Linked DNA regions of Oryctolagus cuniculus. The protein of the gene in region 1 binds, or shares a complex with, the protein of each later gene. Links are inferred from orthologs where the notes say so. Each region holds a gene or a part of one and is shown on either strand. Other genes may lie near its edges. The genes, in order: STK11 and CAB39.

Evidence for each region.
Region 2: the proteins of STK11 (region 1) and CAB39 are in contact, whole or in part, in a crystal structure (PDB 2WTK), measured with the Homo sapiens proteins. The link is inferred for Oryctolagus cuniculus from reciprocal best matches to the Homo sapiens genes STK11 and CAB39. Residues at the interface, in NP_000446.1 of Homo sapiens: Gln100, Arg103, Arg104, Glu165, His168, Ser169, Gly171, Leu201, His202, Pro203, Phe204, Ala205, Ala206, Asp207, Asp208, Phe234, Arg301, Ser307, Arg310, Lys311, Lys312; in NP_001124321.1 of Homo sapiens: Gln109, Gly111, Thr112, Lys196, Leu197, Leu238, Asp239, Arg240, His241, Phe243, Met246, Ile250, Val280, Ala283, Asn284, Pro285, Glu317, Gln318.

Annotation. Positions count from the first base shown.
Region 1 is NC_091447.1:58,649,158-58,652,946, reverse strand, and holds the end of STK11 (serine/threonine-protein kinase STK11), read right to left. Parts: intron 3,548-3,789; coding exon 3,490-3,547; intron 3,087-3,489; coding exon 2,890-3,086; intron 2,419-2,889; coding exon of another isoform or gene 2,336-2,418; exon of another isoform or gene 2,280-2,335; intron 1,154-2,279; coding exon of another isoform or gene 1,149-1,153; coding exon 328-1,148; 3' UTR 313-327; downstream 1-312. UniProt on the Homo sapiens protein: Tumor suppressor serine/threonine-protein kinase that controls the activity of AMP-activated protein kinase (AMPK) family members, thereby playing a role in various processes such as cell metabolism, cell polarity, apoptosis and DNA damage response.
Region 2 is NC_091434.1:8,419,768-8,424,187, reverse strand, and holds the start of CAB39 (calcium-binding protein 39), read left to right. Parts: upstream 1-1,586; 5' UTR 1,587-1,924; intron 1,925-2,966; exon of another isoform or gene 2,967-3,150; intron 3,151-4,420. UniProt on the Homo sapiens protein: Component of a complex that binds and activates STK11/LKB1. In the complex, required to stabilize the interaction between CAB39/MO25 (CAB39/MO25alpha or CAB39L/MO25beta) and STK11/LKB1.

The DNA.
Region 1 (3,789 bases):
AGACGGGAGCGAAGCCGCCGGGCACGGCCCTGTTCCCCCAGCTTTATTTATTGCCAAAAGATGGGCGGCCCTCGCCGCCCCCCGCTTCGCGCCAGCCCCGCTGGAGTGTCCTCGTCGTGTCTCTCCCGGTTGATAAAAATGTGTACCGCAGGCCTCGCCTCCTGGCTGTCTCTGGGGCGTGCCCGGGGCGGGGGTGGGGTCCCCGGGCAGGGAGGACCACCGCGGAGGGGGCGCCCGCCTCCGACCGCGGCCCCTGCGTTCTGGGCTAGAGTCTTGTACCCCACGACCCCCAAACACTCCTCACACCACAGCTCAAATCCACCTGTTTTATTTTTTCTTAAAAAACAAAAAGAAAAGGAACCAACCAAACGAGGAAAACAAGGCAGCCGCGCGGCTCCCTGGCGGCTCTGCATGCAAGGCGGGGCCGTGCGGCGGGCGCAGAGCCAGTAGTCTCAAGGTAAAGTGCACGGCGGCCCGGGCCTCTCCCTTCTGCGCCTGGGGAAGGCTCAGGCAGGATTGCAAAGTCAGCAAGTCGTGTCCACGGCCCTGCCGCTGCGCGCAGGCGGCCAGGGGAGGCCGGGCCGCGGGGCCGCCCGCTGTCCTGAGGGCGGGCGGCGCTGGGCCGGGAGCCGGCGGGAAGACTGGGGGAGCGCGCCCCCTGGCGGAGACTCCCGGAGGCAGGCTGCGAGAGGACGGGGCGGTCACGGCGGCCCGGGCCTTCCCCGGAGCAGTCTGGGTGGCCGCAGACGGGTCGGCAATGCAGCACCCGGGGCGGGGCAGCCAGGACAACCGCAGGCCGCGGGGGCCGGCCCACCCCCCAATCGGGCTCCCCGGCTGCTCAGATGGCCACCCTGCCCCAGGCCCGGCCGTGACGCGCGAGGGACCACGCGGGCGCCTCCCCGCCGCGGCTTGGGCCTGGCGTGACCACCGCGGACCCCACCTGCAGGCGGCGCTCACTGCTGCTTGCAGGCCGACAGCCGGCGGATCTTGCTGCCGGCGGAGCAGGCCTTGCGCGCTGGGTTGGCGGCGCCGGCCCGGCCCTCGGCCCTCACTTTGGTGCTCAGCTGCGCCGACTCCGTGCCGTTCATGCACACGGCCTTCGGCAGGCCCCGGCTCTGTCCGTTCTGGCCCACCTCCTCTTCGGGGATCTGTCCTGCGGGAAGCCGGCCAGTGTGGCCTCAGCCGAGGGCAGCAGCCAGGCCGCCCCGCGCCCCTGCTGGCAGCTCCGGGCAGACGCCCCGCCCCTGCCCGCTGCCCACCCTGACAGGCAGGTGGAGAGCTGGCCGGCCGCGTCAGCCGTCCACCCAGGGGTGTCTGCTGGGCCTGGGCTGCCCTGCGGCCCCGCCCCCCACCACGCCGGCACTCACCTGCGGGACGGGAGGGGCCGGGTGGCCCGGCTGCGGAAGAGCCCAGCACCCTGCCCACTCCCCCAGCCTGGGGCCCCAAGGGCTCGGCTGCTGCCCACCCTGCCTCACCGGACAGCGCCCTCACCGTGGGGTGGGGGAGTGCGCAGAGGCGTCCCCAGAGCCCCCCAGCCCCCCTCCAACAGGGCGGGGGAGCCTGACTCGGCAGCCCGCAGGCAGGGCCCGGGGGACGGGCCTGGGTCAGGCAGGGACGGAGCCCAGCACCCCAGGCCCAGGGCAGAGGGGCCCCTCTCACCCGCCAGGCCCGGGGACCCCGCCCTGCCCAAGGCCCCAGTGGCACTGCCGCTCGGCTGGGGGGGGGGCTGCCCAGCCCTGCCCTGCTGCCTCCCTGGGGCCCGGCGGGCCAGGGTCTCACTGCCCCCGGCACACACAGTCCTGGGGGTGCCTCTCTGGGTGCAGCTGTACCGGGGGCCGGGCACCCTCAGACCCCAACCGTGTCCAGAGGAGCACAGACCCCTCAGGACCCGCCCACCCCACCACCTGGGCCGGCTCCAGGGCCGCCCCCGCCCGCCCGCCCGGCTCAGCCTCACAGGGGCCTGGGGGGAGAGGCCTCGCGCTCTCGCTGAGGGAAGTGGACAGGAACCCTCGGGCCTGGGGGGGCCACCGCAGCAAGCAAGGGCGACGGACACAGTGGGCGGAGCTTTATGGCTGGGGAGGACGCCACAGCGGGCGGAGTCTTGTGGTGGGGAGGGCCTGTGGGTGGAGCTTTATGGCTGGGGAGGGCGCCACAGCGGGCGGAGTCTTGTGGTGGGGAGGGCCTGTGGGTGGAGCTTTATGGCTGGGGAGGGCGCCACAGTGGGCGGAGCCTTGGTTGGGGAGGGCCTCAATGGGCGGAGCCTGCGGCTGGGAGGGCCTGTGGGCGGAGCCTTGGTTGGGGAGGGCCTGTGGGCGGAGCCTGCGGCTGGGCTACGCTAGGGCCTGGCGCTGTCTCCACAGAGGGCTGCACACTCGCTGCTCTGCTCCCTAAGCCCTGCCTCAGCGACCTCCTCGCCACCTGGGGAAGCAAGGGGGCGGGGTCAGGGCTGCAGGGGGCGGGGTCAGGGCTGCGGGAGGGGAGGACCTGGACCCTCACGGCCGGGGGGCGGGGTCAGGGCTGCGGGAGGGGAGGACCCGGACCCTCACGGCCGGGGGTCGGGGTCAGGGCTGCGGGAGGGGAGGACCCCCAGACCCTCTTGGCCGGGGTGGGGGTGGGGGGTGGGGTCAGGGCTGCAGGGGGTGGGGTCAGGACTGCGGGAGGGGTAGGGGCTGCGGGACCCTGGCCAGCGGGGTTGTCAGGGCTGGGCGGGGAGGGACTGGGCAGAAGGAGCCCCCACCCCAAGTCTGTCCCCACGGCAAGCAGCTCCTGTCCCAGGGGTCTCCCACCTGCTCCCGATGGGCCTTGGGCCGGAGAGGCCGGGCTGGACGCTCGGAGTCTGCCAAAGGGCGGAGCCGCCCGGGCGGAGCCGGCCGCAGCCCGCGGACTCACCGGGCACGGTGAATTCCTGAGTGTAGATGATGTCGTCGTCGACGTCGAAGTGCTCGCCGTCGGCGTCCTCGCCGGCGCCCCCGTGCAGGTCCTCCAGGTAGGGCACCACGGTCATGCTGCGCCACCGGTCCTTGGTGTCGGGGCTCGGCGGGATGGGTACCAGCGCCTCGGCCAGGGGGTGCTTCTTCCGGAACCAGCTGCAAAAGCCCGGCCGTGGGCGACCGGGGCTCCTGGCGCCGCGCACCCCGCTGCCCTGGCCCGGCCGGCACTGCCTCCCCCCCATTGCAGGCTCCCTCCCGTGCGCCGCAGCGCTGCCCCGGAGACGGCCGGGGGGCAGGGGGCCAGCACCGAGCCAGCGTGCACCACAGCACCCTGTAGGGCGCCGGGAAGGCCTGCCTGCACAGGGGACCCACGCAGGCCTGGCCTCCGCCTGGCCCAGCCCGGCCACCGCAGCCGCCGGGGACGGCACCGGCACGTGGAGGCGCGCTCTCCCTCCCTCACTAATCAGCCAGCCACTGCAAACAGGCCCAAGCCGGCTGCCCCACCCGGGGCCCAGGAGGTGGGAGACAGCGCCGGCCGGGCCTCGCCCGCGCCACGCACCTGTGCTGCCGGATCTGCCGGATGGAGAACCTCTTGGCCGGCTCGTACTCCAGCATCCCTGCAGACAGCGCGGGTCAGCGCGGGCCCGGCCCCGCCCCTGGATCCCCCCGGCCCCGCCCCCGGCCCCTGGACCCCGCCCCCGCCCCGCCCCGCCCCGGGCCCCGGCACACAGGCCAGAGCAGCAGCTACACCAACGGCCTGGGGCGACCCCGCAGCCCCGGGGATCCTGTAGTCCCCCACCCCACGGCCGCCGCCCACCTCGCAGCGAGTCCCCTCCCCCCACGGCCGCCGCCCCCCTCA
Region 2 (4,420 bases), on another chromosome or scaffold:
GCCAAGGTTCCAGGGCCGACCCCAGTCTCCCCGGAGGGTGGGCAGGCGGCCTGCTCCACCAGAAGATGATACGCTGCTATCTGGCTCCTCCTCCCCAGAATCCCTCATTGGCCTCCCAGAATCCCTCATTGGCCTCCCAGAACCCTCCACTGGCCTCCCAGAATCCTCCACTGGTCTCCCAGAATCCTCCACTGGCCTCCCAGAACCCTCCACTGGCCTCCCAGAATCCCCTGCTGGTCTCCTAGAATCTTCCACTGTCTCCCAGAATCCCCCGCTGGCCTCCCAGAATCCCCTGCGGGTCTCCCAGAATGCCCTACTGGTCTTCCCTTCCCGATCTCGCGGGGCTGGCCCCTTCAGCTTGCTCCTTGGCCTCGCCTTTTGTTCCCACTCACTCCCTAAATGATCTCATGGGGTCCTGAGCCTACTCCGGAGACTCCGGGGCTGACCGCTCGCTGGGCTCCGGTATCAACTTCCCGCTTCTGTGCCCAGCGGGCAGCTTGGGCGCAGGATCCCGCCAAAGGAAGTCCCCCCCGTTTCTGTGGAAGTCCTCCCCTTGTCACCAAAGTCTAGCTCACAGCTGCTTGAGAAAAACCAAGTTGAGCGCAGCCCCAGCAGACCGGCCTTCGAATGCGGCTGGAACCCGCCACCTCCGTGCACCTCCCCTGCCCTGCGCCCGCCTCTCTGGACCTGCGGCTCCAGCAGCCTCTCGGGGCCTCCCCGCAGGACTCAGCCTGCGGGGATCCTTGTGAAATGTCAGACGGCGCCCCTTCTCTGCTCAGAACCCTGCATCGCATCCTCCGCGTGGTCTGGGTGCCCCGTGCTCCCCCCGCCCCTCCGCAGGGCTCCGCACTCGCCCTGGGACTCACCTAGCACCTCCTGCACGCTGTCCGCTTTGCACAAAGGGCCAAGGCCCTCACTTTCCTCAAGTAGCTGCCCCCAGAGGAGCATAAGTAACATCCCTCCTGCCTCTCTCCCCTGTTCACCCAGCCCTGGCTTTCTGCGGAGCACCCAAAGCCGCCCAGGATTCACTGTTGGGTTCGGGGGTGGGGGGGTGGGGAACACAGCCCCTCCACTTACAGTGCATACAATAGGCGCTCAGAAACACTCGGTCATTTACGAAGAAGCAAAAGCAGACATGGCCGGTGTCTTTCTGTCCGGGCCTCCGCAGTCCGAGCTCCTCCGCACGCGCCTGGGCTCGGGTCCCTGTATTATTACCCTTTTCGGATTTTAATGTGTGCGGAAATCCAGGCACGGGGACATGAAGTGGACCATGCGAGAGCTGAGACTTCAGTCCAGACTGAACCCTGCCGCTCATTGCATGCCCATCCCTCGCTGGGGCGCTGAACTGTTGCCCCTCTGCGCAGGCAGGGGAGAGTCGGTCTGCACAAAGTCGGCTCCAGGCCTTCCGCGGAAATAAAGCTTCGCTGGGGAGTCTTGGTGGAAAGCCGGCCTGACCAGGGAAGCAGGACTCGGGGCCCGGCCTTCCCGCTCCCGCGCCCTGAGTCCGCCCGGCCGCCCGGGGGCGCCCGCGGCCGCAGGGGGCGTTGCGGCGCCGCCCGACGACGCGCCCTCGGCGCCTGCGCAGTGCGCACGTCAAAGCCGGGCTCGGGCCGGGCGCGGGGCGCGGGGCGCGGGGCCTGAGAGACACTGAGCCTGCCGGAGCGGGGCTGAGGGCCGAGGCGGAGGCGGTGCCGGGCCGCTCAGCGCCTGCAGCCGCAGCCCGAGCGAGCGCAGCCGCGCGGCGGCCACCGCGGGCGCCCCCGGGCCGCCGGGAGCAGGAGCGGGCGGAAGACAACGGAGGGGCCGAGCGCCCGAGCCGCGCCGCGGGGACCGAGCGAGCAGCCCGAGGCGGCGGCGGCCGCCGAGGACGGGGACGGCGACGACGCGGAGGCGGAGAGGGAGCCGCCCGGCCCGGCCCAGCCCCGTGAGTGACCCGGCTTCCGCCGGCCCCGCACGGGCCCCGGGCTGCCTCCATTTTCTCGGGCGGCGGGAGCGGCCGGGCGGGGGCCCTGCCCTCTGCGCCCGGGGCCGCGCGCGGCTCTCGGGAGGGCAGGGGCGGTGCGGGCCGGGGCTAACTGTCACTGCCCCCGGCGCCCGGGAGACGCCGGTGCCGCGAGGCGGGGCGCGCCTCGGCGGGGGTCCTGTCGGGAGACGCCTCGGCGGCTCTCGGATGGGGACCTGTGCGGCGGAGCGCCGCCGAGCTGGGCTGCAGCAGCCCCGGGTGCTGACTGCGGGCGGGCGGGCGGGCGGGCGGCGCCGCGCCGCGGGGATGCATTCAGAGGTGCAGCCGGCCCCGCGGTCGCCTCCCCGGGCTCTGGGGCGGGAGATAAGGCGCGTCCGCCAGCAACCGCGATCCCGGGAAGGAGGCGATAAGACCCTGCGAGGGGTAGCAGGGTACCCGGGCGGGGGGAGGGGGACCCGTCCGATCGATGGCTTCCGCCCGGCAGAAACCCTGGCGGGCTTCCTGGGCGAGGCAGGGCGGCAGCGTCTTGAAGGCCTTGGGGTGGGGGCGGTGCAGGAGGACAAAGGTATTTAAAAAAAAAAAAAAAAAAAAAAAGGCTGCTTGGTGTAGACCGGCGGGCCGCGGGTTTTGCTGGCCGGGGTCGCCTGCTCCAGAGGCGTGGGGGCCTGCGCAGGAGCTGTTGGAGCGGCGGTTCTCGGTGACTCACGAGCCCGGAAATGTAGGCTAGAGGATGTTCCCGGCGCGCCCGTGAAAGGGGCGAGCGGGAGGCCGGGCCCGGAGTCGACGCGGTGCAGCGCGGCGGCTTCCTGGGTGTGCAGGTGGACGCGGGGCGCCTCTCGCGAGACGGCCGGAGCCCGGGCTCGGGTGCGCGCCGGCGGCGTGGCTGTCGGTGACTTGGCTAAAACGCGCAGCCCGAACTTCGCGCCCCGCGTGTCCCAGGCCGCGCCGGCGCTCCGCTCGAGGCGGCCCCCGGGCGGCGCGGCCCGGTGGGCGGAGGCGGACGTGCGCCTCTCCACGGGAAGGCAGCGGTGGCTTTATTGTCAGGCGCGGAAGGCCAGAAGCGAGAGTTTAGCTTATTTTGTACTTTTTTTTTTTTTTTGCCCCCCACTCCCTCCCCCGGATGAGGAACAAGTACTAAGCGGCTGCCTGGGAGTCTGGGGTTTTTGCTCTGTGAGCAGCTTTCAGAGGTGAGCTTAGTGGGTGTGACGGGCGACTGCCAGTGCTTCCCGGCTGGTCGGTGGTACCGTGGTCGGTGGAAAAAGCAAGCCCTGCGAAAAGGGCTTTTGTGAATTGTCTACCTTTTCGGTTTGGTCGCTGTTCGCATTTTCGCGTGTTTCCCCTCCAGTCTCTGCCTGTGTTTTGTTTTCTTCTTCACCTGCGCGTGCAATCCCCGGGGTCATCAGAATGACCCTGGGAAACGTGTCTCGTGGACAGTAAGCGTGCATGCAAAAATCTTGCTCCAAAACAAACTTCTCATTTTATTTTCGTATGAACTTTTTGTAGACCTCGCATCTCATTAAATTTTTTTTTGTGGTTGTATATCTTCATATAAAATGTTTTTCCCGAGGAAGACAAGCCCCTTAAATGTGTTACAGGGTTGACAGGCGTGTGCGTCCTAACTTCTCTGCAGGGTTGGGTCCTGGGGCTGTTGCGTGAAGCTTGTGCTTGGCAGGATGCGAGTTGTCAGGAGGGATGCAAGGGGGTGTGGAGAGCCCTGTGTCGGAGGGGTGCTGCCCCTCCCACTCCCCAAAAACAGGCTCTCCCAGTGCTCCAAGCCGGGGTTTGGTTTTTCTGTCGGTGGCTCTTCGGGGTTAGGGGAGTTTGTCGTGAAGTGATTGACTGCCTGACCAAGCTCTGTGACGTTTATTGCAGGGCAGCTCACTCAGGTGCATTCGCATCTTTTTTTTTTTTTTTTTCAAGATTTATTTTATTTATTTGAAAGAGAGTTACAGAGAGAAATCTTCCATGTGTTGGTTCACTCTCCAAATGGCTGCAATGGCCAGAGCTGGGCCAGGCCGAAGCCAGGAGCCTCACATGGGTGCAGGGGCCCAGCACTTGGGCCATCTTCCACTGCTTTCCCAGGTGCATGGGCAGGGAGCTGGATCCTAAGTGGAGCAGCTGAGGCTCGAACTGGCACCCATAACAGATGCTGGCGTCTCAGCTGACGGCTTTACCCACTGTGCTGCAATGCCTGCCCCAGACTACAGGTCCCCAGACTGCAGGTTCTTTTTTTTTTTTTTTTTTAAGATTTATTTTATTTAATCGCTTCTCGGCCTTTTGGCTAAGATCAAGTGTGAAGATTTATTTTATTTATTTGAAAGACAGTTACAGAGAGAGAGGTCTTCCATCTGCTGGTTCACTCCCCAGATGGCTGCAATGGCCAGAGTGTGCCGATCCAACAGCAGGAGCCGGGAGCTTCTTCTGGGTCTCCCACGTGGGTGCAGGGGCCCAAGGACT